Alligator mississippiensis: one gene and its partners. The protein of the gene in region 2 binds, or shares a complex with, the protein of the main gene of each other region. Links are inferred from orthologs where the notes say so. Each region holds a gene or a part of one and is shown on either strand. Other genes may lie near its edges. The genes, in order: RAMP1, CALCR, RAMP2 and RAMP3.

The links.
Region 1: the proteins of CALCR (region 2) and RAMP1 are in contact, whole or in part, in a cryo-EM structure (PDB 9AUC), measured with the Homo sapiens proteins. The link is inferred for Alligator mississippiensis from reciprocal best matches to the Homo sapiens genes CALCR and RAMP1. Residues at the interface, in NP_001158210.1 of Homo sapiens: Arg45, Lys46, Met49, Asp50, Gln52, Tyr53, Tyr56, Asp57, Met59, Gln60, Gln61, Thr75, Trp76, Asp77, Gly78, Asn124, Arg126, Phe235, Leu238, Ile242, Thr246, Val250, Ala251, Gln257, Arg258, Trp261, Tyr262, Leu265, Phe269, Ile276; in NP_005846.1 of Homo sapiens: Trp59, Ile63, Tyr66, Arg67, Ala70, Asp71, Phe83, Trp84, Pro85, Val89, Asp90, Phe93, Leu94, His97, Gly98, Phe101, Ser103, Arg109, Ala110, Val111, Arg112, Asp113, Pro114, Ile118, Leu119, Phe122, Ile123, Pro126, Ile127, Val129.
Region 3: the proteins of CALCR (region 2) and RAMP2 are in contact, whole or in part, in a cryo-EM structure (PDB 7TYX), measured with the Homo sapiens proteins. The link is inferred for Alligator mississippiensis from reciprocal best matches to the Homo sapiens genes CALCR and RAMP2. Residues at the interface, in NP_001158210.1 of Homo sapiens: Arg45, Lys46, Met48, Met49, Asp50, Gln52, Tyr53, Lys54, Tyr56, Asp57, Met59, Gln60, Trp76, Gly78, Arg126, Phe235, Leu238, Ile242, Thr246, Val250, Glu255, Lys256, Gln257, Arg258, Trp261, Tyr262, Leu264, Leu265, Phe269, Pro273; in NP_005845.2 of Homo sapiens: Trp86, Tyr93, Ser94, Arg97, Asp98, Glu101, Leu109, Pro112, Glu117, Ile120, Phe121, His124, Phe128, Cys131, Pro136, Phe138, Ser139, Asp140, Pro141, Leu146, Met149, Ile150, Pro153, Ile154, Leu156, Ile157, Leu160, Ile161, Leu163, Val164.
Region 4: the proteins of CALCR (region 2) and RAMP3 are in contact, whole or in part, in a cryo-EM structure (PDB 8F0K), measured with the Homo sapiens proteins. The link is inferred for Alligator mississippiensis from reciprocal best matches to the Homo sapiens genes CALCR and RAMP3. Residues at the interface, in NP_001158210.1 of Homo sapiens: Arg45, Lys46, Met49, Asp50, Gln52, Tyr53, Lys54, Tyr56, Asp57, Met59, Gln60, Arg74, Thr75, Trp76, Asp77, Gly78, Asn124, Arg126, Phe235, Leu238, Ile242, Thr246, Gln257, Arg258, Trp261, Tyr262, Leu264, Leu265, Phe269, Ile276; in NP_005847.1 of Homo sapiens: Cys57, Leu59, Ile63, Tyr66, Glu67, Thr70, Tyr83, Trp84, Pro85, Gln90, Ile93, Thr94, His97, Arg98, Phe101, Ser102, Cys104, Val106, His110, Leu111, Glu112, Asp113, Pro114, Val118, Leu119, Leu122, Ile123, Pro126, Val127, Leu129.

Annotation. Positions count from the first base shown.
Region 1 is NC_081827.1:187,002,096-187,010,013, reverse strand, and holds the start of RAMP1 (receptor activity-modifying protein 1), read right to left. Parts: upstream 3,019-7,918; 5' UTR 2,979-3,018; coding exon of another isoform or gene 2,939-2,978; intron 1-2,938. UniProt on the Homo sapiens protein: Accessory protein that interacts with and modulates the function of G-protein coupled receptors including calcitonin gene-related peptide type 1 receptor (CALCRL) and calcitonin receptor (CALCR). Required for the transport of CALCRL to the plasma membrane.
Region 2 is NC_081828.1:174,341,586-174,348,993, forward strand, and holds the start of CALCR (calcitonin receptor), read left to right. Parts: upstream 1-4,402; 5' UTR 4,403-4,771; intron 4,772-4,870; exon of another isoform or gene 4,871-5,248; coding exon of another isoform or gene 5,249-5,335; intron 5,336-7,408. UniProt on the Homo sapiens protein: G protein-coupled receptor activated by ligand peptides amylin (IAPP), calcitonin (CT/CALCA) and calcitonin gene-related peptide type 1 (CGRP1/CALCA).
Region 3 is NC_081827.1:152,179,399-152,186,297, reverse strand, and holds the start of RAMP2 (receptor activity-modifying protein 2), read right to left. Parts: upstream 3,004-6,899; 5' UTR 2,959-3,003; coding exon 2,895-2,958; intron 36-2,894; coding exon 1-35. UniProt on the Homo sapiens protein: Accessory protein that interacts with and modulates the function of G-protein coupled receptors including calcitonin gene-related peptide type 1 receptor (CALCRL) and calcitonin receptor (CALCR). Required for the transport of CALCRL to the plasma membrane.
Region 4 is NC_081828.1:117,398,053-117,405,129, forward strand, and holds the start of RAMP3 (receptor activity-modifying protein 3), read right to left. Parts: upstream 3,017-7,077; 5' UTR 2,746-3,016; coding exon 2,694-2,745; intron 1-2,693. UniProt on the Homo sapiens protein: Accessory protein that interacts with and modulates the function of G-protein coupled receptors including calcitonin gene-related peptide type 1 receptor (CALCRL), calcitonin receptor (CALCR) and G-protein coupled estrogen receptor 1 (GPER1).

The DNA of each region.
Region 1 (7,918 bases), on a different chromosome or scaffold from region 2:
ATGATGGCAGCTATAAATAATATACAGTGCTCTAAATTGGAAAGAAAAAAAAATAGACTGCTCCTTTAATAGTACAGTATGCGGTATGCACAAAAAAATAGCACAAGAAAGAGATAGCAAAGGACAAATGTACCCACCAGAATGGAACTCACACACCCCAATTAACTGTTGTCTGTCACAGAGAAATGGTCTATGTGCCTAAAATACGTATGCTTCCTATATTGGTATAACTCCTGTACAGGAACCACCACCGTTTTAAGAAAATCTGGACTAATATACTTAGAACTGTGATCCTGCCAAGCCCTTAGGGATTCAGCAAGAATAAACAGACCTAGATTTGAAAATGTTAATTCCTTGTTATCAGCTATTAAATGTATCTGGCTAAATACTTATTGTACAATGGTGGCAGATAATATATTAAACCACTTAAAAAGAAAGGGGGTACTCAGAAGTTATCTTTAGCACAGACCACTTTTGGTGGTAAGGAGAAGGACTAGTGAAAATGAAAAATAATAAAGATACTAAGTAGTAAGTGAATGAGATGCTCTTATTTTACAAAGTTACATTAACTGACAGCACTCCTGTTACTTCCTAGTTAAAATCAAAAAGTCAGTCAGTAGACAAAACTAAAACTAGGGTAACACTCAGGAAACAAGGATGTATTAGAGTATGTATTGCAAAGCTTTTATTTTCATATGATGTATTTATTAATGCCTGATTCATTTTAGTACCGTATTTATATTCCGCTAGTGCAATATAAGCAGTCTATAGGACAATATGTGGAAATAGAACAGATACTGTGCATTAGACAGCCTCAATAGAGGTACAATTTACATTGTATTCTTTTGGCTTTCCAGAGTCATTTGGTTGCACCTTGCCTGCACTGAAAAAATCATCCTATGAAGTAATCAAAGGGCAACATTAACGCTAAAAAGGTACCAATAAGTATATGTGTGAGTCCCAATTGTTAAGGCAATTTCCAGTGCAGGGGATAGGATTTCAGAGATTTAGCACGTTGTAGGACTGGGCTTTATACTTGCATAATATCAACACTAATTTTACTTATTTATTTTGATTTTATTCATATTATTCAATTTAAGAAGATTTTCTAAAATGTAACACAAAACTAAAGCTCACATGTTATCTATCATTTTCCTAACAGCTGCTTTGATAAAGTCTGACAGGAAGATTTACAATTTAAAAAAAACTGGAAAGAGACATCAGAACCTGTGTCCTAGATGAATGAGAATTACTATGTATTGGCATTAATACTAGGCTTCCATGTATACTATTTATTGCATAGTTTCAAAATGTTACTATTTACTATTTAATCATGGACTGTGAGTCTCTCTTTAAAAGTGAACATGGAGAATGGGTTTAGTCTAACTTGTGCCATCTTCTATTTCTTTGTGAATAGTCACATGCTAAAAAGTGGTAAATAGTTAATTATGTTGTACAGGTAAGACCATTATATGCAGCACAGCTCAATACATTATTTACTAGGGTTTTGAAGAGGAAAACAGTGTGGAAGAATGAAAGGAAGGTAAAAAGGAAATAGAAGCTTCCTCAATCTTCGGATTCCACGATGAATGTTATATTTCAAATCAGTATCGAACAGTTTTAATGTGGCTTACCTTTAAAGGTTAATGAAACTCAAATGCATTCACTATTACAAAACACACCGATATATGATTCTTCAAAGCTTTTATGCTAGAGATACTTACAGTAATGACACGAGTTTCTACCTGTTGCACCTGTAACTCTAGTAACAAAAGCATGAGACAAGATGCCACATGAAAAATATTTAGCAAAACAAAACCAGAAAAAAAATCTTCAGACGCAGACTTAAAACAACCTTTTATATGCTCTGATACCTCATTTAGCATCAGCAGCATTTCTCAAGACAGGCAATTCCAATGATGTCCTCAACATACTGGTTTGTACATGGCAGAAATGGAAAACTAGGGAAAACAACTATATAATTTACTAATGGCTTAGTCTGTATCAATGTGGGTGGCGAGAGGAAAGGAGAGGAAAAGCTGTGAACATAAACCTGCTTCAGAGACCTGATATTCCTTTAAGCAGACAAGTAAATGCAAACAAGACAGATCCAGGTGGCATTTCCAACTGACACAGTCAGTGCCAGGTGAAATATTTACTTTGCCAGGTGAAATATTCACTTTGAATTCTTTGCCATTTTAGAATTAAATTCCATTTTAATCTCTACTGGCCTTTGGAAGCAGAACTGAAGATGACAGTACAGACACTCTCACACGGGTCAGACTTTAGGGAAAAGGTAAGGACGGGTGACGTTATAGTGGATCACCAAGAATGAGAACGGTAGTAAATGTTAGCCTTTAGGATTAAAAAAATAAAGTCTTTTCAGAACATGCATGGAAAATTCATACAGGTTTCTGAACAGCAGCAGTTTCTCTAGTTTGCCAAAGTATCCACAGATCCCGTTTGCTCACAGATGGGTTTTCCAGTGGCCAGGTTTCCGGGCTAGCAGCCACCAGACCAGTCAGGGGGCAGGGTGGCATCTAGCGGGGCCAGGGCACTTCAGACATGAAGCGGGCATGTGCCCGACACCTAACCACAGGTGTGTCCTGCGCCCCCGCCACACAACCATTACACTGGCCAGTGCCCAAACCGCAGCAGGGCTGGTTTTCCTCTGCCTCCACAAAGCCTGTCGGGCTGGTTCCAGTGCTGGCCCCGGTGTTCAGCTCCGGGGCGGTCACAGCAGCACCGGAGGCGGACTGCCCCCCGGCCCCTCACCGCCGATCAGCAAGGGACGAGCTTGCTGGTGACATGTCAGGGGCGAAGAAGGTCCCGGGCGGGGCAAGCGGCGGGCGGGTCATGCCGGCCTCTCCCTCGGGGGTCGGGGGTCCGCGGCACGAGCGAGGGCGAAGCCCCGCGACGAGGGGGCACCGCCACTTACCCAGCAGGAAGCAGAGGAAGCGCCTGGGGAGCAGAGCCATCGCCGCGGCCGGGGCACCATCCACGCGGGTGCGGGCTCGGGAGGGAGCGCTTTATCCGCAGCCTGGCGCCTCCGGGGGGGGGGGGGGGACGGGGACGGGGATCCCGCCCCGCGGGGGCGACGCACAGCAGTGCGGCGGGAGGGCGGCCGTCAGAGGTTCCCGCGCGCCGGGCACGGCACGGCACGGCACGGGACAGGACGGGGACGGGCGGCGCGAGCGCGGCAGCCAGCCCGCCCCGCGCAGCCGCCGGGTGTGCGCCGCCTTCCCCAGCCTCCCTCGACATCAGCAACAGCACAGGTAGGGTGAGTCTGGCGGCAGCCCGCTGATGCCGCATCCCCAAGCCCGAATCACTCAGGGGGCACGTCTACCGGGCATTTACTGCCCCGCAACTTCTCCCAGGTTAAGCGGCTCTTTAGCCAGGTATCTACACGTGCAGCTGTTAAAGGGCAGTAACGCCACGTCTAAAGTTAGTCCCAAGTCAGTCCACACACACACACACACACAGCGCACCACTGCACGGGAAGGCGTTGTCTACACGTTGGTTACTGCACAGTAATGATTGGGGCGTGAATTTGACACCTGCGTCATGCAGGTATCAAATGTCTGCCCAAGTGGGCATACATCACCATGGTTACTGCGCAGTAGATGCACACCCAGACGCACTACTTTTTGGCTAAATTTGCCTAAATTACCACGCGGTAAGTGTGCATGCATAGATGCACCCTGGGAGTCTTAACTGACTTTTGAGCTTGTTATCAGCACTTTCTTATGACTACTTGCCTCAAAATAAAGAAATCCTTCAACTCTGATGACCCAGTTCTCCCTCCCTCCCTGATGGCTTACAGTGAGCAATATAAAGTAAACAAGATGAGGACTTAGTTGCATATTTATTAGTATACTTTTTCAGTGCACTATAGTTTTTCAACAAATACGATCATTTTGAGCTTCCAATAGGATAACTTCATATTTAAGACCTGGCAGTGCTGACTTGCCTCAAAACAGACTCATATAGAAGCAAGCCCCAGGCAGGCCCTTCACCCTACAGCTTGAAGGGTGATGACCGGGAATGTGTCCTAGGTGTCCAGGGCCGAGCCAGGTACTCTGCAGGCTAAACACAGATGCATGGCTTAATTCAGGCTTGAGCAAACTACAGACACTGCCGTGGGACAGGACCAGCCCCTTGGGCCAGTTAGGCAGCACTAAGCCAGCCCCAGTTAACTTTGCCTTGGAACAATGGCAACTCATTCGAGTTCATTACACCTTCCATGGAAAAAATGTGTCTCACGTGACGTGAAGCATATCCTGGTCCCGTCAACCCCATGTTAAACCAGTTGTCTGTTGTTAGCCCAGGTTCTTAGGGTAGGACAATGGACTTTTCCTTCTGTAGGATCCCAGAAAGGCTTTGTTCCAGGCCTAACCTGGTGTGTTGCCTCCCCCACACCATGCAGTGGTTTTCAAACATCCTACAGTCACGTAACCCTTTCATGTCATTTCTGCTGCTGTGGAGCCTCTGCCCCTGTCCGAAAGACTGATGGGACACAGGCCTCCTGGCCCGGCCTCTCTTCTGCTCTGCCATTACCCCAGCTCCCTGATGACTTATTGTGGAAGCCCAGGGCTGGCCAGAGCACAGGCTGAAACCCTCTTCCTTAAGATTTCAAGATTAAGCCAGCTCAAGTTTAGGCAGAGCTGCCCTTGGAGGAGGAGAAGGGGAAGGGGAAGGGGAAGGGGAAGAGGCTCCAGACACCCTCTAGTTCCACTGGATTTTGATTAGAAACTGAAGTCAACAGATTCTTTCCAATGACTTTAGGGCATCTGGGAGTAGTAGGTGTTGAAAGCTGAACTCTTAATTAGTTAATTACACAATTAACTTCACAGAATTGAGGGCTTACTCCTCCAAAGTTCAATACAGGAAAGGATTTTCATGGTGGGAGCTTTCTCTCTAGCCTACCTCAATGCTTAATAATTAATTAGTACAAATAGACTCATTTATTAGTTGAAAACCACAGGACTATATTATAACAATAATAGACAACAACAACAACAACAAGGGCGATACAGAAATATGAAAGAGAGAGCAGACCCTTTGCCCACTTGCAACGATGTTTCAGTTGCAGGCACAATCAGCTTAGCTTAACTCTACGCACAAGTTTTAAAAAATATATATTTCATGTTCCAGGTCAAATTAGCCAAATCTGTTCCAAATCACATCGACTGAACAGAACTCAATCGTTCCAAAATCCAAATCGATTGAGCAGGCAGAACTCAATCATTCTAAGCACCACGTACGGCCCTACAACTGGTGAGAATCCTCCATCCCAGACCTATCACCCTGGGGCTTCAAACAATCCCATATCCATCGGTAGGCATTGTACGTACAGGCCCAAGTCCGGAGGTCTTGGGGTTCAGATGCCCCTAGATTTAATTTTATTAGAAAATGAACACTCAATTACTGTACCCACAGTGATCTACCCCAAGGCTCCCACTCTCCCAGAAGCTTTTCCCCCTCCTCAGGTACTCAGTCTTCTCTTTTTAAGGGAGTGTGATACTGTACCATTCAAGGGCAATGGCTACTCAGCACTAGTCTGTTGCATTGGGTCCTAAGTTTGTGTCACTGGGGAGCTTCACTCCACCCAGATAACACCCACACAGCGACCAAACTCAGAGTTTCACCCACTGACCCAAGCTTTCTTACAGACACAACCATAATACTAACCATTCAGCACATCAAACAACACTTAGTCATGCCTCACAAAGTCTCACTCACACCCAGACTCACACACACATCCACATTAGAATGAATCCTCCCCCCCAACACATACCCGGAGTCTTAGATACAAGCTCTTTTATAAGTTGCAGGGGTACAGGTCATAGCCGTGTTGGTCTAAAGACACAGGCAGACAGGGTTCTTTGGGTAAAGCTGGTATCTTTTATTTGACCAACTCAAATAGTTGGAAAAATTCTTCTTTGCAAGCTTTTGGGTACAAGTACTCTTCGTCAGGGTACACACCAACTGCAGATGCTTCCTCAGCCTGACGAAGGGTACTTGTGCCTGAAAGCTTGCAAAGAAGAATTTCAGTTGGTCAAATAAAAGCTTTACCCAAAGAACTTCTTATAAGTTCCAGTCACAGCCCCTCTGTCAGCCGCGTTCATAACCAACCATTCTCTCAGAGGCACTGTCACTCGCATGTCAGTCACTGGCTGTTCCCATCTCACCTGATCACCTCATGAAAAGGTACTGAATGCACGTCGACTTCTTGCTAGTTTTCGCACAAACACAAGTAACTAAACTGCACGTGCTTGGACCTTCAAACTAGGTCATTACCTCATTGAAGGTAAAGAGTTCACCTTTTCTAGAACCTTCTAGACCCTTAGCTCATGGACATAGGCGACTGATGCCACCTGAGTCACGGTTGATCTCGCCAACCAGGAAGCATGAGCAGTGCCCCCGGACGTGCCAGCAGCACTTCACCTGGTGCCCCCAATCCTCAGCTGGTGCTCGCAGGGGGTGCACTGGTGCTCCTGCCTCCCCCCTGCCTATCACCTAAGCGGGGAGCGCTGCCTGTCAGGGGGTGCACCAGCACTCTCAGAGGGTGCACGTGCATCCCCATGCACCCCCTACACACTGCCACTGCTCGTGGAACATGCATAACACTACTTTAGCTACATGACTGCTAGTTGAATTACCTATCTGCTACACAAAACTACCAACAGGCCAGGGGATGTACCACCTTGCAGCCTACATAGGTTTGTGTGTGGCATGGGTGACTCAGACCCATTTAACAGGGAGGAACCTAGAGAGGTGGTGGAATCGCCATCCTTAGAGTTTTTAAGGCCTGGTTCAACAAACCCCTGGCTGAAATGATCTAGTTGGGGATGGTTCTGCCTTGAGCAGGGGGTTGGACTAGATGACCTCCTGAGGTCCCTTCCAACCCTAACTTTCAAAGAGTCTATGATTCTATGACCACCCTACTCCCTACGACAGGCCAGAAAAGAAAGGCTGCTGTTAGGGGCAGACTCCCCAGAAAGATTGCAAAAAAGGAGTAGGTAGAGGAGGAGAGGGGTGTGGAAAGAATGAATGCTTAGATGGAAGATTTACATGAGTAAATGACATATTTTCTACAGCCTCCTTACAGCAACACTTGTTAACTCTCTCCAGATGAGACTTCTGGTACAACAGACTTCACTACTCAGTCTCAGCCTACTACATAAATGCAAAGGAGAATCCCCTCCCTTTTCCCTCTTTAATACACATACTCCTTTTACCGACTGTGAGATGTCATTGTGGACATTGCTTCTACCCTGTTACAATTAAGGTTCTTTTAGGGATAAGTTATCTAATTAAATTCGTGATTTTCACCAGGGTGCCACAGCACCTCAGGATGTCTTAAGATCCTTTCAAGGGTGCCACACAATATTAGCACAATTAGACACACAAATGGGATGTGCAAGAAAATTCACAAGGAATTCGTGGTGCTAAAAGCATTCTGGCCTGTTATGGTCTTTCTGAGTTCTTTGCAACAGAAGAATTGCTCTATTGTTTTTCTGCATTCAAAAAGCAAGTGAAAAATACAAACTGGCATTTTCAGAGGGATGCCTTGAGGCTAGAGGTTGAGAGTTACTGCACTAGATGTTGAAATCCATTCATTTATTATCCTGAGACTATACCACCTCTTTTGGCATTGGGTAGGTTCCCTTGTAGAGTATGCATGGCATTTCTGAAGATGGGTGGGGCTAACAGTTTTTTAAATTAATGTGATTTGTGATACTCCTGTAATGAGCTGGCTTGGTTCACAACCTGTCTGGTTACTGGAGTAAATTTTGTATTTGAATGAATGCAAAAAGGGCTTACTAGAGCTCTGTAGTCATTAAAGAGTACAATTACAGTAAATGAGACTGTGATTTGTGTGGAGGGTTAGTCCTGAAAACAAAGCTCTCTCCAG
Region 2 (7,408 bases):
GGCAGTGCAGGGCACTGGGTGTCAGTGGCCGCTGCTGTATACAAGCTCCCCTCCCCCCCATTCCTGGGAGACGGTGGTAGGGTTGGCAGAGGGGGCATGGGGCCGGAGGCAGAGTGGTGGCACCGTAGGGCGCTGGATGTTGGCACTCTGTCCCTGCGCGCCCCCCTCCCCAATCATTCTTGACAGACAGTTGTCTAGTATCTTTATTAATGATCTGGAAGATGGCATAGATTGCACCTTCAGCACATTTGTAGATGACACTAAGCTGGGGAGTATAGTAGATACACTGGAGGGTAGGGCTAGGATTCAGAGTGACCTAGACAAGTTGGAGGTTTGGGCCAAAAGAAATCTCATAAAGTTCAACAAGCACTAGTACAAAGTCCTGCACTTAGGAGGGAAGAATCCCATGCACCACTACAGCCTGAGGACTGACTGGCTAAGCAGAAGCTCTGCAGAAAAGGATCTGGGGGTTACAGTGGACAGTAAGCTGGATGAGTCAACAGCATGCCCTTGTTGCCAAGAAGGCTAACAGCATACTAGGTTGCATTATTAGGAGTGTTGACAACAGATCACGGAAAGTAATTATTCCCCTCTATTCCGCACTGGTGAGGCCACATCTGGAGTAGTGTGTCCAGTTTTGTGCCCCCTGCTATAGAAAGGATGTGGACAAATTGAACAGAGCCCAGCGAGAGCAACAAAACGGAGGGGATTTGACAGCAGCCTTTAACTATGTGATGGGTGTTTCCAAAGAGAATGGAGAGCTAGAGTATTCTTAGTGGTGACAGATGATAGAACAACAAATAATGGTCTCAAGTTGCAGCATGGGAGGTTTAGGTTGGAGACTGGGAAAAACTAGGAAAAACTCTCTCACTCTGAGGGTGGTGAAGCATTGGAACAAGTTACCTGGAGAGGTGGTGAAATCTCCATCCTTAGAGGTTTTAAAGGCCTGGCTAGATGAAGTTTTGGCTGGGATGATCTAGTTGAGGATGGTCCTGCTTTGAGCAGGGAGGTGGACTAGATGACCTGAGATCCCTTCCAACTCCATTGTTCTATGATTTTAACTTAAAAGAAATCATTCAGGTAATGGTGTCTGACCTAAACGACACCCAAACTGGCAGTCTCAATAAGATTGGACTCTTCTACCTCCTGCTCTACCTACCTCTTCTACCTACAGCTCTAGAGTCAGAGCAGATGTATTTGCAGACAATACAGTGAAACCTGTATTTCAGCTGCTACAACTTGTACTGCAATTATTCTCTGAATAAACAGAGCCTTTCATCCCCAGACTCTTTAGTTCAATTAGTCATTTTAAGGAGTATAAAATTAACTCTAAAAAGACATTCTTCTCCTTTTGGAGAGTAATTTAAAATCTTCATACAAGAGATGTTCTAACACCCATTTCCCATTGTCGTCAATGAGAGCTGATTAGGCCCCATGTGTTACAACTGAAGACAGACAAAATATATAATTTTTAAATAAATCTTGTAATTATATAGGGAAGATGGTACTGAGTAAGCCATAGAAAGATAACTATACCATTTTTTTTTAAGTTGGCTTATTTGATAGCTGGGGGAAGGGAGGAAGGAAAAATCACAGCATTTTGAGTGCTGGATTTTCAGATTTAACATTCTGTATTTATGAAACAGTAATACCTCAAAAGGATAACTATTTCAGCTATCTACCCTTCACAATAAGCCAAAGATAACTGTAATGATCCAGTGTTATAATTAAAACCAGAATAAAATTACCATGCGATAGTTAACAGATTTTCAGTAGATATTTAATATGGGCCTGATCATCATCTATTACTCATGCTGAGTAGTAATTATTCATGCTCATAGTCCAAAGAAACTCAGTGGGACTTCTTGTGAGAGTGCTAATCAATGTGAATAAGAGTTGCAGATCTGTGCAGTCTTGTGAACTAATGGTTATCCAAGATAGGAATGTACTCAAAGAAAAAAACTTGGAAGAGCTATTTCCAGATTATGGGATGCCAGATGTATTTTGGCAGATGTACAGTGCTTAATGCAAAAAAATAGTGCAACATAAAATCAGATTTGAAATGCATATAAAATAGAGCTTGAAGAATACAACACTTTCTAGCCAAAGCACTGAAAATGAGGTGGCAGAGAACAACACATAAAATGATAAGATTAGCCCACCAATAAAGCAAGAGGTAAGAAAATGAACCTCTTGTTCTGGGGCTGCTGCTGCAAGTGTGGTGCCTGTACCCCATCTATATCTTTTCTAGCAAGCTGTGACCAGTATGAGGTCTCCTTGAGACCCTGGAAAAGAGAAGTAATTCTCTTCTCTTGGTCTTTACAGACTTCCTTGCTACTCTGAACATCCTGTAGCATTGCTAGGTTTTTTGAATACTTCCAATACCTGTTGCTGCTGTTCCTCACAGCTTTCCTAGGACAGTAATGTGTCCCAACAAGACTGACAAGATTCTCACCAACTCACAGTTTTCATAACAGCAACATTATAACTAATGAAAACTGTCCCCAATTTAACTATACCCCTGCTTGAGAAAACTATGAGCAGTGATGGCACAACTGTCCTATTTTCATGGACTCATAACAACTCTATACAGGTTCACAAGAACAAAAACATTAAAGCAAAAGATTAAATTTAGAAGAAAGTGATGATTTAATACACTGCTTCCCACTCATTAGGGAACATGCTCTACACTGGAAATACGAGTTATGGACATACTTTACCTCTGACAGAAGACAACTCGCTTCTAGAGCAAGACTAGTAGAATGAGCATGGTGCCACCTTCTTGAGCAGGTTGTTAAAAATGTTCTTTCTTCCCATGGTCACCTGCTGGTAGGAGGTCCCACCACCTGTTATCTGCAGTGGAAAATTTGGAAGCTGGAGAAATGGATTTAAAAAAGATGATTTGAGGAGTTCTAATGAAAACATTGATATAATATATATATGTGGTATTATTTTCTAAAGAATACACCTACAGAAAAGTACCACTGGAAATGGAAAGAGAGATCATTTTTATGCATCTTTCACTTCCAGATACCTTCTTAACCTAGTTGCCTGAGCCTTCATTATTTTCCTTTCTTTTCTGTGAAATATTACTTTATGCAGATAGATATATATTTTCCCACTATTCATTTAATATTTTTATTGGGAAAACATCACTGAATTTGCAAACATCAGCCAATTCAACTCCATTGATGATATCTCATCTAATCACCTGTAGAGCTGAGTTAAAGTAATCCAGGGTCTCTGCAGATTAGCTGTGACTTCCTTTTTCCTGGCCCACTGTTTTGTCTCCATCCAGGAACAGGGACGCCTCAGTTAAGTAGAGAATGTATCCAGGCAATGTTTTTTTTTTTCTGGTTCTGGTGAATAACTTATTCTCACACACAAAAAAATGTGGTTGCAGTTGACCTGAATCGATTTGTGAATTTGGATCAAATTTGCTTTGCAGTTGACCTGAATCTATTTAGCAAATTTGATCCAAATTCACAAATACGTTCAGCTAAAGCACATGGAGAAAGAGAGGCTGATTTCCATGAAAGGTTCTTTTTTATCCAGTAGCCAAGTGATTAGGACTTCAGTTAGGATGAGCTGACCCAAGATCAATTCCCTCTGCCCGAGGAAAATTGAGGAGGAGGGGAACCTCACAGGTGTAGGTGCTACCCACCACCATTAAAATCATTGTCTTTTCTGTAGTGACTAGTGAAGTATTAGGTGTATACTGAAACGTTGAAACAAACAAACAAAAAAAGACAGAAGGAGCCTTATCTTGGAAGACATAGGCTGGTGGGAGATAACACAGAATATAAGCAGGTGCAATTCAGGCTGTTGCCTCCCATCAAACCAGGTCTGGACAATGGTTTACAGAGGTAGTTTGAACGGCAGCTACCTCGAATTAACCCGGATAGACAGTCTTGTGGGGGCACCCCCCCGGTACTTCAAGTGGGCTGATGAGTGGGAGTGTCTGTGGGATCCCAGGGTCAATTTTTTTTTTCTGGGGTAAAACCAGTGGTCTGGCTTTTAGCCTCCGCTTCTTCCTCCCAGTCAAGGAATGAGTGGATGCGGATGCCCCGTGTCAGAGGACTGGCACCACGGGGTGACTCCGCGGCAGGTCTCCCACGGTCCCTGCTGCTGCAGCTCGTCCACCTCACGTGCTGCTCGTGGCGGCGGAGAGCAGGCACGAGGAGGGCTCCCGCCGCTTCCCCCGTGCCCACGTGAGTATCTTCTGCCCAGAAAAGCAGCATCTCCCGGTGCTGGTCCGCGTCCCCGGAGCCCCCCCCAGCTAGAGGCGGGAAGCGCCCTCGCTCGCCCGCTCCTCGCCCCGCCGCCGCTCTCGTAAGATGGCTGAAGCGGCTCGGACGGAGGCCGGGGTCTGAGCCCCTCCAGTCCAGTCCGGTCCGGTCCGGCCCGGCCCGGCCCGGCCCGGCCCGCGCCCACCCCCGAGGCGGGGCCCCCTCCCCTTTAAAGCCGCCGCGGGGCTCGGCCGGCCCCGCTGCCGCCTGTCTCCCCGGCCGGGACCGGGCGGCGCGGGGAGGAGCGATTCCGGCTCCCCCGCCCCCGCCCTGCGCCGGAGACGCGGCTGCACCGGGCTCGGCGGCCGCAGAGCGAGGCGGATGCGCCCCCGGGGCCGGGGCGTGCAGCGCCGGAGCCGCCGCGGGGCCATGCCGGGCTGAGCAGCCGCCGCCGCGAGACGGGGAGTCGAGGCGCTCGCCCCACGTCGCTGCTTCGCCCGGGGCCGGGAGCCGGGGCCAGGGGCCGGGACGCGGCGCTTCAGGTGGGTCTGAAGTGCCCCGGCGGGCGGGCGGGCGCTGCCGGCGCCTCCCTCGGGGGCGGGTCCCGCAGCCCGGCAGGCGCCTGCGGGGTCTCCGGCGGGCGGCAGCTGGCCCTCCCGGGCGCTGGAGTGGCCCCGAGTCCTTCATTTCCCGGTTCAAACGCTCGCCCGGTGCCGCGCGGGTCGCCTGCCAGCCAGTGCTCGGACGGGGAGGGTGCGGGGCTTGTTACCGCTTACAAACGGGCGTGTTAAAGATGGCATGTAACAGCGTGGCGAGTGTATGTACAGCGACATGAAGAACGGGCAGGGGCTTTCCTGCGCCAGTCCTCGGGAAGCGGGGCTGGAGGGGACCTCCCGCGGTCACTTTGTCCAGCCGCTGCCAGAGGCAGGACCATCCCTGCCCAAACCATCTTGTACCAGCTACAGCCCCATAGCGCACCTCTGCGTAAGAGCTGCCCTCGCTTTGTGTCCTCACCTTCAATGCAAGCCCCTTCTTTTCAGTATCTTGTCTCTGAACATCTGCGTTTCTTCTGTTCCCATGGTGCTGCGTTGGGTTCTTGGCCAGAGGTAATTTTTGACCCTTTATTTATTGAAACCATGACGGCTTTTTAAGTTTTTGTATCTTTTCATGTGTCAGATGATTATACTTTTGGATTGAAAGGATGAAAACCCAAATAGTAGGATGCTGGGAGGGGATGAGCGTAAAGCTCAAGTGTGTGTAGCTCAATTGCTACGTATTACTTTGTATATCTTTATTTTTGCAGACCTCTAGTTTTAAGGTAGCTCTCTAGACATGAAGAATACTCCAGTGGGCGGTGTTCATAGAAGTGTTTTTGCTTGTGATTGATGGGCAGAATGGGAGGAGTTGGCAATGAGGTGAACATGTTTGGCACATTGACTTGTCGATCTCATTTATTGATTTATTTTAGGGACTTGATGAAATAAAAGTTTTTTTCCTAATCTTCTAAGACAAGTTAAGTGGACATAGAATCCTTTTTATTTGGTCAAACGGGAGGATTGTCGTTTGTTCTAATGCTGTGACTGTCTCGGTGCTGAATAACATATTTCTCTCTGACCAGCAAACTGTAGATAATGTCACACTGAAAAGAGAATTTAATTTACTGTTCAAGGTTCTAGACATATTTGCAGAGAAGCTAAATTAAATGCATGAGAGCTAATGTTTCATTTTAGACATCTGACAACCTTTAGCAGTAGGTGACCCTTACTATGTTTATCTTTATGATGCTTGCTGTTTTGTCATGTTGGTTGACAGCAATTTATTCTGGATAAACCAAAACTCAACACTTCAAGTAACAGATACACAGAAGAAAAGTGTGCATTGAGTTATATCGAATTAAATCCTGGCCCTCTTGAAATCTGTGGCAAAACACCCATAATGCCAAAAATGGCAATATTTTGCTATGGGGGGTGGGGATGGGTGTTGGGGTTTTTGCTGGATCATTATTACTTATGGCTGAGTGCCAGCCAGCTTAGAGTTGAAACTGAGGTAACAAAATCTGAATTGGGTTAATACTAGTTTGCACTAGCACAATTCCATTGTTGTTCAATTTTGGGTGATAGCCAGACATCATGTTTTAATATTAAAAGTCCTCTATATATAGTAAGTGGCACTTATTAATGTGTGTGTATGTATATAATATATACATAGAGAGAGCAGGCTGAATAGACTTGCAAAAGGCTGACTGAGTACAATTCTGATGTTTTTATCAGAACGCATCATAAATTAGATGGCAGTCTGGTTTTCTGCTGTATTTTAGTACAACTAATTAAACAGTGAACAGTTTCTTAAAACATTATTTATCTGAAATGGAAAATATGGTTAGTGAACTTTTTTGACTGGATGAAAAACAACATTTTTATAAGAGTTTGTTCTTGAGGTCTGTGACACAATGGGAGTTTAAGGAAGTCAGTATCTCTGAGAACTGACTTGCAGGGTTGAGCCGTTATTTTAGGGTTTAATCCTCTAATTTTGTTGTCCACTGAAATAAATTACCTGCTATCTGAAACTATTTTGATGGATCTGGCTTTATTTTGGATATTTTTCTAATGATTGAAGATGGTCAGTTTTGTAAAGACTGAAAATTGAGAAATAATCTACCTAGTGCTTTGCAGACTTATAGCCCCATCTTCCTACCAGAATAGAATGAAACTTCTCTTAAGAACTAGACTTTCCACTATGATGATTTTTATATCAGGAATTCTGTGTTTGTACTGTTTTATGTATAGGACACACATCTGACCCATTACCTTCATATAATAAAAGTAACAGGATAATAAAGAGAATAGACCCATTCTGCTCTGCCAAGGCACGTTAGTTCTAGGGATTCCAAAAAGAAATCCACCAACTTCCTATTACTTGTGACAACTTGGTCCAGTCTCACTGCCACTGAGGCCAGTGTTGAAATTCCCATGGATAGCGTTATATAATGCAGGACTGTCCTGCAAGGAATGAAGAACTTTTACTTGCTGTTGTTATTTTCTGTTATTTGTATTGCAGTAGTACCAAGGGCCACACCTCTGTTAGGATTTCTGTATAAATGTGAAGTAATTAATATTGTGGCTAGAACAACTGGCAAATTAAGGGAAATTAAAACGGGGCAACAGGAAAAGTAAGCTCCC
Region 3 (6,899 bases), on a different chromosome or scaffold from region 2:
AGTCCCACCATGGCATACCTTGCTCCCAAGAGCCACTGGGGAGGATGAAAAATCAAAGAATGAAAAACAGGAGTGAAAGGGAGCTCAGCAGGTGATGTAGATCAGTCCCTTGCTCCAGGCAGGACTTGGACTCAAAAGGAGATGTGTTGTAAGGACTTGCTTCATCCATCCCTGCAGTTCTGTCTCTCTGGGCACTGCCCCAAAGCACCCTCTGGCCTGTGATGTTTGGGAGAAGCTGGGGGTAGCTGTAGGCACGGGGCTAGTGACATAGGTGGTATATTTCTTGGGCTTGGTCAACAGTAGTGTAGAGGTCAAGATTTGCAGAACCAGCCTCTGATACTTGGTACCCAGATGGTTCTGGGCAGCCTGATGGCTACAGGGAACCAAATGCTTGTTGCTGTCAGCTCAGCTGGCACAGCGGTGCTCAGGACCCCTCCTGCCCTGGCCCCAGAGTTTCACCCAGCATCCCCACTGCTCCCTGCTACATCCTTCTTTCTGCAACTCTTGGGTGCAGTAAAGGCTATATGCAAATGAAACGGCATGGCATGGCATTGCACGCATGGTGAGTGCATTGGCCATGGAAAGGCACGTAGCACCTGCAGCAGTTGGGAGCACTGGGCAGGGTACCACCCTGCACCAATTCCACAGGGAGATGAATTGGGCATAAGACAGGTAGCTCTAAGGCTAAGCTTGGGAGCAGAAAGGGAAAGAGGAGGGGACAATCGAAGTGAAGTATGTAATTAGGGGAAGAGCTGGGTTGGGAGGTGTTGGGACCCAAAGGCTTCTGGGCCCAGCTTGATAATACTGGCAATTGGCAAGAGACTACTGTCTGTTTGCTGCATGCTTGTTCTTAGCTGCAACCCAGCAGAAATGTGACAGACAGGTCACCCTGACCGTGACCTGTCCCTGCTAAAGGAAAAGAAGACATCTGGAAGGATCCTGGTTGGATGACCAAAAGCTAATCAGGAAGTTGGCTAACTAAACTGAATAAAAATAACTTGGCAAAAGAGGAACAGTCAGAGCAAAATCCTACTGCCACCTAAGAACAAAAAGATTACCTCAGAATTAAAAAAATTCCAGTTAAAGGTAACCATATATGGCAAGCGGAAATCAGCTCGTTAATATGCATTGTAGGGAAGAGTTTATGCTAATATATTAATAGTAATCAGCAGCGATAAGGTATATAAGTACAACCCAGCTTTTCCCCTAATCACATGCTTCACTGTCTTCCTAGGGTAGTGGCTGGACCTGTTCCTCCTACAATGCCATGTCTAAACCTCCCTTGAGATTTCAGGGGAGAGAAGAAACCGGTCTTCATGACCTGGACTGCTATTGGCTGCCAGCACCCACTGTGATGGTGCAGAGCAGATGAGCCTACCTTGCCGGTCTGGCTGGAAAGTGGACCTGGGTTAGGGAAGCTGTCTTCTTGACCTTTCCTTCCTCATGGGGACCTGGTCTATGACACAGCAGAGCTGGGAGGCAGTGGGTTGGGGGCTGTTTGTGGTACACTGCCCAGTGGGGGCTGCTCTATGGCATGGCAAGACTGACAGTCCAGTCCCTGAAATTGCAAGGCTGGGAGGACTGGTTAGTGCCATTCCAGAGATGGCAGGATTGGCTCACTGCTTGGCAGTGCTGGGGGATCCAGTCTGTGGCATGCTGAGGCTTGGGGCTGGTCTGTGGTATGCCAGGGCTAAGGGACATCTGGCTACTTGCTGTTTCTCTACCTACTTTTGCATTTATGAGATCTCACAGGCAGCAGTACTTCCTCTTCCCACCACAGTTTTGCCATGGGAGCAAGTCTGAGGCTCAGTGACAAGTTGCATGCCCCTGGGGAGGGGAAGGTGGGAGGGCAGGCAGACTGGTGGAAGACAGGGGTGCCCACAGTCAAAGTATCGCCAGCACTTTTCTGTCCAGGGCCCAGGCAGGTCATCCTACCATTGATTCAGACAGAGGCTTGCAGGTTTGGGACCTTTCAGTGCGTGTTTTGCCATCCCAAATGTCCCTAATGGTCATGATGATAATAAACAGGGGAAAACGAGGGGAAGCAGGAAGAGGTGCCCAGAGCCAGGCAGCAGCATTTGCATACCTTCCATGATGCAGGCTCAGCTGCAAGGAGAAGCATGATGTTACACATGCTCACATAGAGCTCTCGCAAGCAGCTCCCCTGCACAGACGCACACCAACCCCACGGCCAGGACTCGCACCAGACACGTGTGCTAAACGTGCTTCCCACTGCTCACAAGCACCCTGCCAGCCTAGCCTCCTGCTGGATTCCCATCCCCTTCACACAGGGGGGGACCGAGGCATAGAGACACAGGTCGTCAGAGCCAGAGCCGGTGCTGAAGCCCAGGAGCCCTGTCTCAGAAAGGTAAAAAGGACTCCCCGGAGCCTTCTCCTCTCTGTGGGTTAGTGATTCATTTTTTATATTTGTGTGCTGCCGTCTCCAGAAGAGGCTCAGGAACTGTCCCACTTTTCATTGGGGCTGCTGTCCCTGCCCTTCTCCCTGCTCCCCTGTACAGAGGGGTCACTGAACCTGGTCAGCAGCACGCACTGCCCTGCCATGCAGAGCTCCCCTGGCTGGAGGCTGTCACACAGAGGGAGAGAATATTTGATCTAGAGTCAGTAAAGAGGGCACATTGCTGGAAGGGGAGAAGCCATGCTTGCTCCTGCAAAGTTGCACTTGGGGCTCCCCTACTTTGCAGTCCCACCCCAAAAAGAGGTGAATATAGCCAGGCTTCAGCAGGGGTCACAGCTCAGAGAGGCTGCAGCCAAATCTAACATGTCATATAGCCCAAATCTGTGAACCCTTCCACCCCTTAAAGGCCCCTGGCAGGGAGAAGAGCCAGCCCCAGGCAGCCCCACATCGGGCTGGGCTCAGCCAGAATTGCACTTACCCCAGAGCAGCAGTAGGAGCCCCCGGGAAAGGCAGCCAGAGTCTGTCTCTTTGCATAGTGCCATCCTACAAAGTCTGCCTGCTAATGACCAGGACAAGTATTTCAATGGAAATAACAGGAAGCAACTCCTTTCCTCTGACAGGGGTGGTATCTACTACAGGAGACGTGTGAAAACTGAGATTACTCAGTGCTGCTTTAAAACAGATCTCCCAGTGGGACTCTTGTCAGAACAGTGCAACCACTGGGCCCCCATGCTGCTAGGTGTGTGCTTGGCGCCTATGGGCACCGATCCTCACCACCCAGAGCTGCCCCAGCCTTGGGGTACCTCTGTCACTTTACCCACACATCTGGCCAGTGGCAGGGAGAACTCTGCTCCCTTTACAGCACATAAAACTTTTACAAGGCCCATTATTTGTTTGTGTATTTCACTTTAATCCTGTCTGGGCTGGGTTGTGAAATCACCAGTCTCCTGCATGGAGAGCAGGCAGCCCGGGGGAGTGGATGGGGAAAGTGTAATATCTCAGTTGGGCACTGATATTAGTGAGCTATGCAGTTTGTAGGCTCGGAGGCAGGTTTGGGGAGCTTCAAAACCAACAGCCCTATGTCTGCTGCTACTACCTCAAGACCATCTCTCAGCATTTACCTCTGAACCCAGTCTGAACACCACTGCTCAGGGGGTAATCTTTCCACCCTCTCCAGCCCCCTGGAAAGCAGTGAGGAAGACAGCACTTGTTGCCCCCTCCCCGCCCCCAAAAGTGCCAGGAAGCCTCACACCATCACAAGAAAACCCTGGGGGAATTCGTGTTTACCAAAGTGGGGGAGCCCAGCAGCTGCTCAAGGCAAGAAAAAAGAGCAAGCACCCACCCCATTGCTCTGCTGATTCCCTCCACTCCTGATTCCTGGTCCCTGCTTGCCCAGCCTTGGGCTCCCCAACCTCACAGCTCTGCTGGTGCCCCTCACTCCTGCCCCCAGCCCCTGTTAGCCCAGCCCTGGGCTACCACAAACAGAAATGAATGGCTAGTCCGAATGACACTGCACAGTGTATTTGTTCTGTGATGTGCTCGTAGGGGGAAACATGCTGAGACCAGACACACTCATCTCACTTCTGGCTTGAGGCAGAATTTGAGCCTAATGTTTCCTGTTTAGCAGGCAGTTTGTGGAGCTCACAAACCGTGTGTAAACTGCAGGGCAAAAGGACTGCAGCTAAGAGGAACCCTCCCTGCACTGGAAAGATAATATCACTCTGCGTTTTGTGCTTTCCCTGCAAATGTCCTTGCCTAATGGGCCAATTGTCTCTGGGCTGCGCAGTAGTAGCTTGTTCCAGGACACTGCAAGATCTTCCATGGGAGAGTGGCCGCATCTGGAACACATAATGACCCGCACATGAAACTCCTGGGGTGTGCTCAGGGGTTAGAGCCCCTCGATCCCATTCTTTGTTGTCTGCACACTTGGAGCCGAGCCTCGAGTTCTGCAGATGGTGTTTCCTTGCCAAGGCAACACCCACTGATGTCATCTGGAGTACTGCCGCTTGAACAGGGCCATGCTTGTCACTCATGTGTGACGCTCCCAGCCAGGACTGGCCGTGGAGGAGTCCCTAGTGCACAGATCCAGGCTGGAGCAGTTCCACAAGCCCGACTGCCTCGCTTTGCCAGGCAAACACCATGTTCTTTGCTGATCCCTGAGGAGGAACTCTAGTGGGGCAAAGTGACCAGTGAGTGGCAGGCTGATGACAACGTGATCCCAAAGTGCCAGGATCCTGAGAGGGGAGCCAGGGGTGGAGAGGAGCCCATTCGTATTCTTGCACCCTCCTGGTCATGCCTGTCAGTGCTACCTGACTGATAGGGGCCAGGCTGTGCCTCCAGGCTTGCAGGGAGTCTTCTTTCTCCATCTAGGCTGGAGCCTTTCTGGGCAGGGAGAACCCACACCAGAGTGAACAATAAACACTTCTCCTGGCGCTCAGCCTCCAGCCCCTCCCAGCAAGACCTGGAGAAGTCAGCACAGAACCACAGAGCAAGCCCCAAGGCCCTGGTGCAGAGTGGGAAGGGTCTCACAGTGAGTCAATGGCAGAGCTTTGAATGGATCCCAGGAGTCCTGACCTCCAGCCTCCTGCACTGTAACCTACTGGACCTCATCTCCCCCCTACACTTTCAGGGCTAGGACCCCAGAGTCCTGACTAACCCTTTGCTAGAGAGCCTTTGGGCCCCATTCCCCTCCCACCTACATCTAGTAGTAGAGCCCAGGAGACCTGACCTCCAGTCCAGTCCCACCCCTATTATTTTAAACTTGATCCTGGTGTCTTCCCGATCCCTCCTGTATTCAGCTGGCTCCAGATACACATTAGATCAGGGGACTTTACACAGTGATGGGTGGGCAAGCATTTGCGACCTGTCTGCTGCTGTGGACCACTGCTCCCCCCTAGCATGCCCCTCCACAGTACCCCAGCTGCCTGCTGCTGTCTCTGTCATGAACCCCACCTCCACCACCTGCACTGTATGTTGCTGGTGCCCACTATCCACCAGCAGCAATGGGGAGGAGCAAATTTGGCAGCAACAATAAGCAGTGCCTGCTGTAGGGAGCCAAAGAGACAGCAGGAGGGAGGACTACGCGGGGTGCTACAGGTAGCATCTTGCTGAGGCTTCTGGTGTGCAAACAACTCTCTTGATTATGTACTTAAAGAACTATTGACATTAGAGAGGTAACAGTCTCCCTACTGCCCTTGCAAGGTCTGGGGTCTGCCCTTATTGTGGTCCTGCCACACCAGGAAGTTCCTGCTGGTCCCACCCAGATTATCTCCTAAAATGCCATGCTTCCTGGATCCTTTCTGTTTCCAAGAGGACTTACTCTGTGTTATGTTGAGGAGGCACAGTGCAGAGTGGAGAAGGAGGACGCACTGGGCCAAGCTGAGCTGTGTACTGCCAATCCCCTGTGCCACCATGGGCCCAACTGGACCATCACCGGCTACATCTAGTCCCTTTGTGGGCTGGGATGGCCAGTGAGACATAGGTTGCTGATACTTGTACTAGACCCTATTCCTTGGGTGGGCAAAATATGGCCCATGGACCGGATCCAGCCCATGGAGCAATTTTGTCTGGCCCACAATGGGTTCCTCAGCCCCGCCTGGCCCAGGCACGGGGGGAATCCAGGTTGTGACATGTGCCTGGGTGCAATGCAGGGCTGGGATGGTGCAGCTGCTGGATTCAGCACCGCTGGCCAGGCACCCTGGCCCTTCCACCCTGCACCCACCGACAGGGGGAGGGTGCTTAGCCAGGCAGCTGGGTTGGGGTTGCAGGCTGGTGGGGAGTGGTGTTTGGAAGTGGGATGGGCTGAGGAGACCCTGGGATCTTGGGGCAGTGACAGCATGGGGACCAGGCTGGGGCAGAGCTGCAATCTGTTCTCTGCCCGTGGAACCCACTCTCATCACAGGGGTGTGTGGGCACCAGATCATGGCTCTGCCCTGCCCCATGATCCTGGCCTTGCTTGCCCCTCCCACTCCTGAACACTGCTCCCAGCTTGCCCACAGGTTTTGGTGCAGTTGCTGTATGAGGATGGGGGTGCTAACCTGGCCCACAACACCTCAACAAACTCCCTTTGTGGTCCATGGGCCCAAGTAACTGCCCACCCCTGCCCTATTCCCTGCTAGACCCAACACTCTACCCTATAGCAGGCCTGTGTTCACAGACCTCTGCTCGAAGCACTGGACACTCTTTCCCTTTCTGATTTGTCCTTAAGGCTGTTATGTACAATGTCCTTTGTCTCCTAAGCCTGGAGAAGGGTACAAGGAGCACACAGGGGTGAGGCTGGGTCCCGTTATGGTTCTGGCTCAGCTCTCCTGCTTTTGCGGAGAGTGAGAGCAACTGCGAGGGGGGTCAGACAAATCGACAGAGTGGCCAGAGCGTGGATAGTCCTGACGGGAGGCTCAAGGGGCCCAGAGCTTTCAGCTGCTGTGCAGTTGGGGAAATATTCCATATGGATCTGCAGGAAGAAGGAATCAAGAGTAGGGCTGGG
Region 4 (7,077 bases), about 57 Mb from region 2:
CGTGTATGTGTGTATGTGTCTGCTGCAGGATCTAGGCTTCAAAGCATGTATGCATGTGTCCATGTGCATGTTGGCTGCAGGATCTAGGCATACAAATGTGTGTGTGCACGTGTGCCCGTGTGTCCACTGCAGGTTCAGGGCATCAAAGCGGGTTGCCTACTGCAAGCTGGGGCTTTGCACCCTGCTGCCTTGCCCTGTGTGCCTCCTGCCACGAGGGGGCAGGGGGATGAGCCATGCAGCCAGCACACCTCATGTCCCCTGCCTGCTTAACAGGTGGCAATAGTATTGCACAGCTGAGCTCCTGGTGCAAGGCAGCAGAGCCCAGCCTGCAGCAGGCAGCCTGCCTCTGTCCCATAGAGGGCACGTGCCCCATGCCTCCCCAGGGGTGTGCACTGCTGCGGGGGGTCACGCCCCTCTGCCATGCCACTGGATGACCTGGCCTGGCCCCAGGGCCCCATTCACCCATGCCTCGATCTGGCCCCCCCTACCCATTTCCCTCCACTTACCAGCTGGGTATTGTCTGTGTATATGTCAATGTCTCTGCGTGTCTGCTCCTTACTCCCAAGCCACAGCCCACCCAGCCCAGCTGCTGCTTCTCACTCCTAACCCACAGTACCTGGCCTCCTGCCAGGGTGTGTGGGGACCCCCCTCTCCAGACTCCAAACCCCACACACACCCCCACAGTCCCCCGCACCTTCACAAATAACATCCCCCCCCAGACACACACACACTTCAAAAATAGCATTGCATGATTTACATGCCAATCTCATGATTTTTGGCATGGTGGGGTTGGCAATACTGTATCAAAGTGTGCATCTGTGTGTGCTGGAGGACCTAGGCATCCATGTGTGTGTGCCTGTTTCTGCTGCAGGATCTAGGCATCCAAGTGTGTGTACATATGTATATATGTATCCATGTGTGTCTGTCTGCTGCAGGACCTAGGCAAAGTGTGTGTGTGTGTGTGTGTGTGTGTGTGTGTGTGTGTGTGTGTGTGCGCACGCGCGCGTGCTGCCACATCAAAGATGATTATTTTGAACTATATTTCAGGGAAACGTGCAACCTGAGTTTGGACCATTGCAACAAAGGGGTGTGGGAGGGGAAGCCATCTGCTTTGTGCATAAGCATCCACAACAGCCACAATTCGGTTAACACTTTTCTGGATGGTTTGTTTGGTCTGGTCTCAAACTGTGTTTATTTCCCTCTTGCTCTCTGGAACTCACATCAAGCATCTGCTGTGCAATTAGAAGGCGTTTCCCTGCCAGACGCAGCATCAGCATCACCAACACTGGAGGCAAAATATACACATCTGACACTGTACAACTCATTGATAAGGCGTGGGGATGGGGAGAGGGAAGCAGAGCCTGGAGACATCTTCTCTCCTCACAAGACACTATCACAGATCCAGTCCCAGGGTTGCTTTCACCAGGAAGAGATTCCTTCTGCTCTTTGAAAAGTCCTCTCTCAAGATCTAGTATCTTACAGACACGGTTCTTTGGGTAGATGTGATCTCTTTTATTAGACCACCTAGACAGTTGGAAAAAAATGTTCTTTTCAAGCTTTTGGGCACAAACACCCTTCTTCGGGCATAAGGAGGGTCAGTATCTTACAGAGCCTTTCTGCAGTCTCTCTTTTCAAAACAGAGTTCCAGCCACCGAGATCACCAGCGAAGCCTGCTCTGGAACAATTAATATTGCTGCAAAAAAAAATGCCTTTTGCACTGGAAAGACCCCTACTACTCTCCCAAAACACAGCAGGCCTTTCTGATGGGAGACTGTCACTGAACGATCCCGAGGGAGCTTGGGAGTTGGGAAGGAGGTGGTGGAAGTTTTATTAGGGTTTTCCTCCTAGGTTGCAATAAACCCTGCTTGAAAATCACCACTCCGGAAGGGCTCTGCCTCTCCAGCAAGGGGGGGAAAAAATCACCAGCCTAAAATACTGGGGGGGGGGGGGGGGGGAGAAGAAAAAAAATGAGAGGGAGAGAGAAGTTGATCTCTTTCTCCTGCCAAGGGAAACCCAGAAATGCTTGAGCTGCTAGTGAAATAGAACTAAGGCTGATGAGGTTCTTTGGGTAGATATGATACCTTTTATTAGACCAACTAAATAGTTGGAAAAAATGGTCTTTTGCAAGCTTTCTGGCACAAACACCCTTCTTCAGGCATTGGGAGACTGCTGGTGTTTTGGGAGACTAGTATGGGGCTTTTCAGTGCAAAAGGCTGGAACAGGTTTAGTGCTCTCCTGGGTTGAATAGAAGGCAGTATGCAAAATCAAAGTCTGTGAAAATGCAAATGCCTGGCAGTGAGAATCAGAGGGGATGGGAGACAAGAGGTGAGAACCCAGGTAGATGCGGGGGGTTGAGCTGGTGATAAAACGTAGCTGGTAAAATGCAGACAGGTTACCTGGGGGGTATCCGATGGCAGGCAGGTTATAATATACCCTAAATCCAATTCTATGTTTAGCGCTGACTTTTTGTCTCCAGTAGTGAAGTTCATAGGGTGGTTTGTCATTCCCCTTTGAACTAAGGCTGAGAGTTAAATCTCAAACTTTCCCAGCAAATCATTGCTAACTCATTAGCACCCCTGCTTGAAGTGCTGCTCCCCCCGCAGGGGCTGCTGCCCTGCATTTCCCTGCCTCCCCCCCCTTTTTTTTTTTTTTTTTTTGCCGGAGCTGATCCCACCCGGCAGGGATGTACTCACCGCACAGCAGGCAGAGGAAAAGTTGCACTAGCCAGAAAGCAGGCGTCTCCATCCCGACCCCGGAGGCAGCAGGGGAAGCAACCAGGAGCCTCTGGGGGAAAGAGCCCTCATGGGGAGGAGGAGGAAGGGCGGCAGGTCCGCAGCCACTTCGGATCAACCCCGATCTCTCCGGCAAGGCGGCTCCTCCGCATCAGAGCCCGAGCAGCGGCAAGCGCAGGGGTGGGAAGGGTGGATGGGACGTGCGATCTCTCCCCCAGCCCCTCTCCTCCTCCTCCTCCGCTCTGTCCCGAGATGTGATCTGCTCAGCAGCCTCTCGGCACCAGTGAACTCCCAACTCCCATTTCCTATGCTCCCCCCGCCTCCTCCAGCCCGCCTAGATTGGGAGGAGGATGTTGTGGCTCTTCTGGGATCCTCCAAGGCAGCCGATGGGAAGTTAGAGGAGGAGGAGGGCTTGAGCAGGAGAGTGAAGCTGAGGAGGGAGCTGGGGGTGCATGCACTGCTCTCTGTGCCTCTGTGCCTCCCAGGGACATGATGTGCCTGATGCCACACAGGCTCTAGTGGAGCCTCTGTGATTAGGGAGCCTCTGCCTAGTCTGCACTTACCCTCCCTTCCCATCCTTTCCTTTCCAGTGAGATTGGGGCACTCACTGGCGAATAAATCCATTGCCTCCAAGCATCTCCTTCAGCAAGGAAAGGACCAAGGGCAGCAAGATCCAGAGCTCTCAAGGGACTGCCTGCCCCTAAGCAGGGGCAATCTTGGCACAAGCTTCCTCTGCCAAGATATTTTAAAGACTGGGATGATGCAGAGGAGCACCTGGAGTTGCAGACTCATAGAGAAGTAGGACTGGAAAGGACCTCCAGGGGTCTAATCCAGTCTTTCTTAACCCGTGGGTCGCAGGAATATATGAAAAGGCCACAAAAAGCTTTAAAAATGTTTTCTCCTTTAAAGGAGAAAAGTGTGGGAAAATCTCCGGGATATCAAATAGTAACTCTTTTGTGGGGGGTTCATCAGAAAAAAACTAAGAGAATGGCTGTTCACCAGGGCACCCCAAGGGAAGACACAGTCTAATGGTCACAATCTGCTGGAAGATTGTTTTAGAGTGGACATAGGGAAACATTTCTTTACCGAGTCTCCAGAGTCTGGTATAGACTCCCCCCAGAAGTGGTGCAAGCACCTACTCTAGATACCTTTAAGAAACACTTGGATGCTTATGTTGCTGGGGTGATCTGACCCCAGCTGACTTCCTGCCCCTTGGGCAGGGGGCTGGACTTGATGATCTCAGGAGGTCTCTTCCAGCTCTAATGTCTATGACATCTATGATTCTTTTGAAACATGGGTTCCCTTTGCAGGCTGGCAGAATTCCAGTCTGCAAGGGGCTGCTTGGGCCCCCTCCCACCCCACATACTTCCCCCTGCCCCAAACACTGGGGGTCCAGGGTCAGGGTTGGGTCAGGAGTGAGGGGCACAGGCAGGGCCTGGGGGCTGTTTTTTCACTTAAACTATTTAAGTGGGTCAGGCCTGCCCAATGTTTACAAATGGGTCCTAGTTCAAAAAAAGATTATGAGCCACTGATCTAGTCCAAGCCCCTGCTTGAGGCAGGATCATCCCTATCCAAACTCTCCTATACAATCCATAATATAAACTCTATATAAGACTTCTGCCAACACAGCCCTGCCACAAATAAAGAAGGGGTACCATGCAGCCAACATCCTGCTTTTAGGAAATGTTGTCAATATATCCTCAAGAAATCCTAGATAGAACTTGCTGCTTTCACTCCTTGCAGCTGAGTCCCCGGTGTACAGAGCTGAAGTGTGAATATGTATTTGCAAATGAGTGCTGCAACTTGGCAGCAGTGGTGCTCATGAAAGGTATATTCCAAAACAGAATAGCTAGGGCTTTAAGTAAGGGCTTAATGTATTTTAATGATGCCATTTCATCTTAGCATGGCCACGTCCAGAGGGATTTATTTGCTCATTTTCATTAATATTTAAACTTTGTGTATTTTTTTGATCTATAAGTATTGGGAAATTAGCATCCTAGCTAAGAAAGGCCAGGGGGAAGAAGTAAAAAACACTTTCTGGAGACTTACCAAGACAGCCAAAAACAGTTATGCTGGTCAGTTTAATAAACAGCCAGAAAGTATGTCTAGATAAGCAGAAGAACTGCATCTGGAGAATTACATTTAAGTAGTAAAGGAAAACATGGTCACTGATATGGTCAAGATTAATCACAAAAGTACATTCTTTTTTTTATACAACCTAATGCAAATATGTGCACATCTGTGCATAGATTTCCATGAGTTTATGTATGTACACACACATGAGAATGCATTTCCTCTCATACCAAACAATGCCATGAAAACAGTGTTTCTGCACAATTTTCAAAGGCCCAGGCAGCATTTGTGACTCAAACTTAACATTGGCGCACTGCATGTGCATCTGAAAATGAAATGGACTATAAACAAAAAAATAAACTGACCATGCTATTTTATTAACCAAATTGAGAAAAATGGAAAAGAATTCATCTAACCTTTAAATTAAAAGTCCAAGACACTGTAGTACATATCTGCAATTAATTTTTAAAGAAGTTGTGAATAATGAATTTCTTACTTTGCACATGCCATTGATAAAAGGGGAGTCAATGAAATATTTAAGGTTTTAGATAACAAATAGCTAATGGAGATCATGCAGCAATGCTGTAGTTAGCAAGCACCTGTGTTTTGGGAGAAGCAAGAGAATCCAAAAGCCATCCCATTATCATAAGGAAGTTCTGATTAACTAGTCTGTAATAAATGACCATTATATTTCCTACAGTAATAATAATAAGGAACAGGATTGTCATATTTCAAATTTCTCTTACAAATCATATATTTTGCCAGGATTAATATTCCCAAGTGGTAGGATGTATGGTGCTTAATAGTTTAAGGAAATCCAAGTTTCTATGGCAGATGGTACAGAAGTGTTGCTGAAATGTAACAAATATTTCTGATCTAGAACTACAGTTTGTTTGTAAATAATGCAGCAAGTATTTCTGTTCATACATCTTCAGGAGAGAAGATATCCTGCATAACAGTAGTAGCAAATTTATGTGAAATAATTCTTTTTTTAACTCGTAAAATTCAATAGACGTTCCACATTTTCTGTTTACTTCATGGAATGCCAGTGAAATTCCAGTACAGAACAACTGAAATTTATAGGCAAGCACACTAGTTTGGAGATGGTAAAGCTATTTAAAATTCATAAGCCAGCTACTTAAGCTGACATTTTCAGCACACTGAACTAAAATGAATAATTCTTAGATGTCTATGTATTTGGGAACAGCTTGTAAACAGAAATGCTATAAAATTAACACTTTTTTCATAATGTCACTGTAATTATGTATGGGCTTTCCCCTCGTAACACAAACTTCTCTCTCTCAAACCATTAATATTGATAGCGCTAACTAATTTGCTTCTTCAGAAAAGCTGTGAAATTTATATTTGGCAGTTATGAGTAAGAAATGACAACATTTCTCATACAAACGAGGGGGGGTGTGCATGTGTGTGTGAGAGAGTGCAAGAGAGAGCACGCATACACACACACACACACACCCTACCCCCTTCAAATGAAAAATCCTATGATGCCAATTATGCAATTATGTACTTAAAATGTCATACCCCTTATCATCTGAAAAGCCTGATTTGTTGCAACTCCTATAAAGGCTGCCTCCAAAGAAAGCAGCATCATGTCGAGCATTCAGCCTTTGAGGGCACTGGCAGATATGCAGTTTCCCGTTTTAACTATGGTGCTTCACAGAAAGCCCCATGAGTTGTAAACTGACCCTCCCAACCCAACAGACATTTGCTGTTGGATTGGGAGGGTAGGGGTTGAGTTCCACTTTGGAGTTGAACTGGGGAGAGAGGCTGCTTGTCTGCAATGTCTGTCCCCTAACCCCACCCTCCTTTCCAAGCTCCAGTGCTATCCTAGGATAAGGGAGGGTGAGGAGATAAGGCAAGGGAGGGAGATCAATTCTGGGGTTTCCCCAGCCTGGAGTGAAGGGACAGGGGGGACTCCAACCCACCCACCCCACCCTCCAGCTGGCTCACTCCCCCCCCACCCCTCCCCTCCCATTCTGAAAAAAAATTCCCAGAGCAGGGTTGGGTTGTGTCAGCTTAGGCCTGCTCCTGGCCCACGCTGACAGGCATTAATGAAGGTGCTCCACTTTGGAGTGCCCTCATGTAAACCCCGATGAAATGAGGGTTCAGATTGTCATGTGATCTGGCATTTTTTAAAGTGCTCTGCAGCCGTGAACTTCTGTCAGTGCACAGCTGTAGAGTGCTTTCAGTGGCCGACTGTACGACAGATAGTCACATTTGTCAGTGCCCATAGATACTGAAAACAAATTTC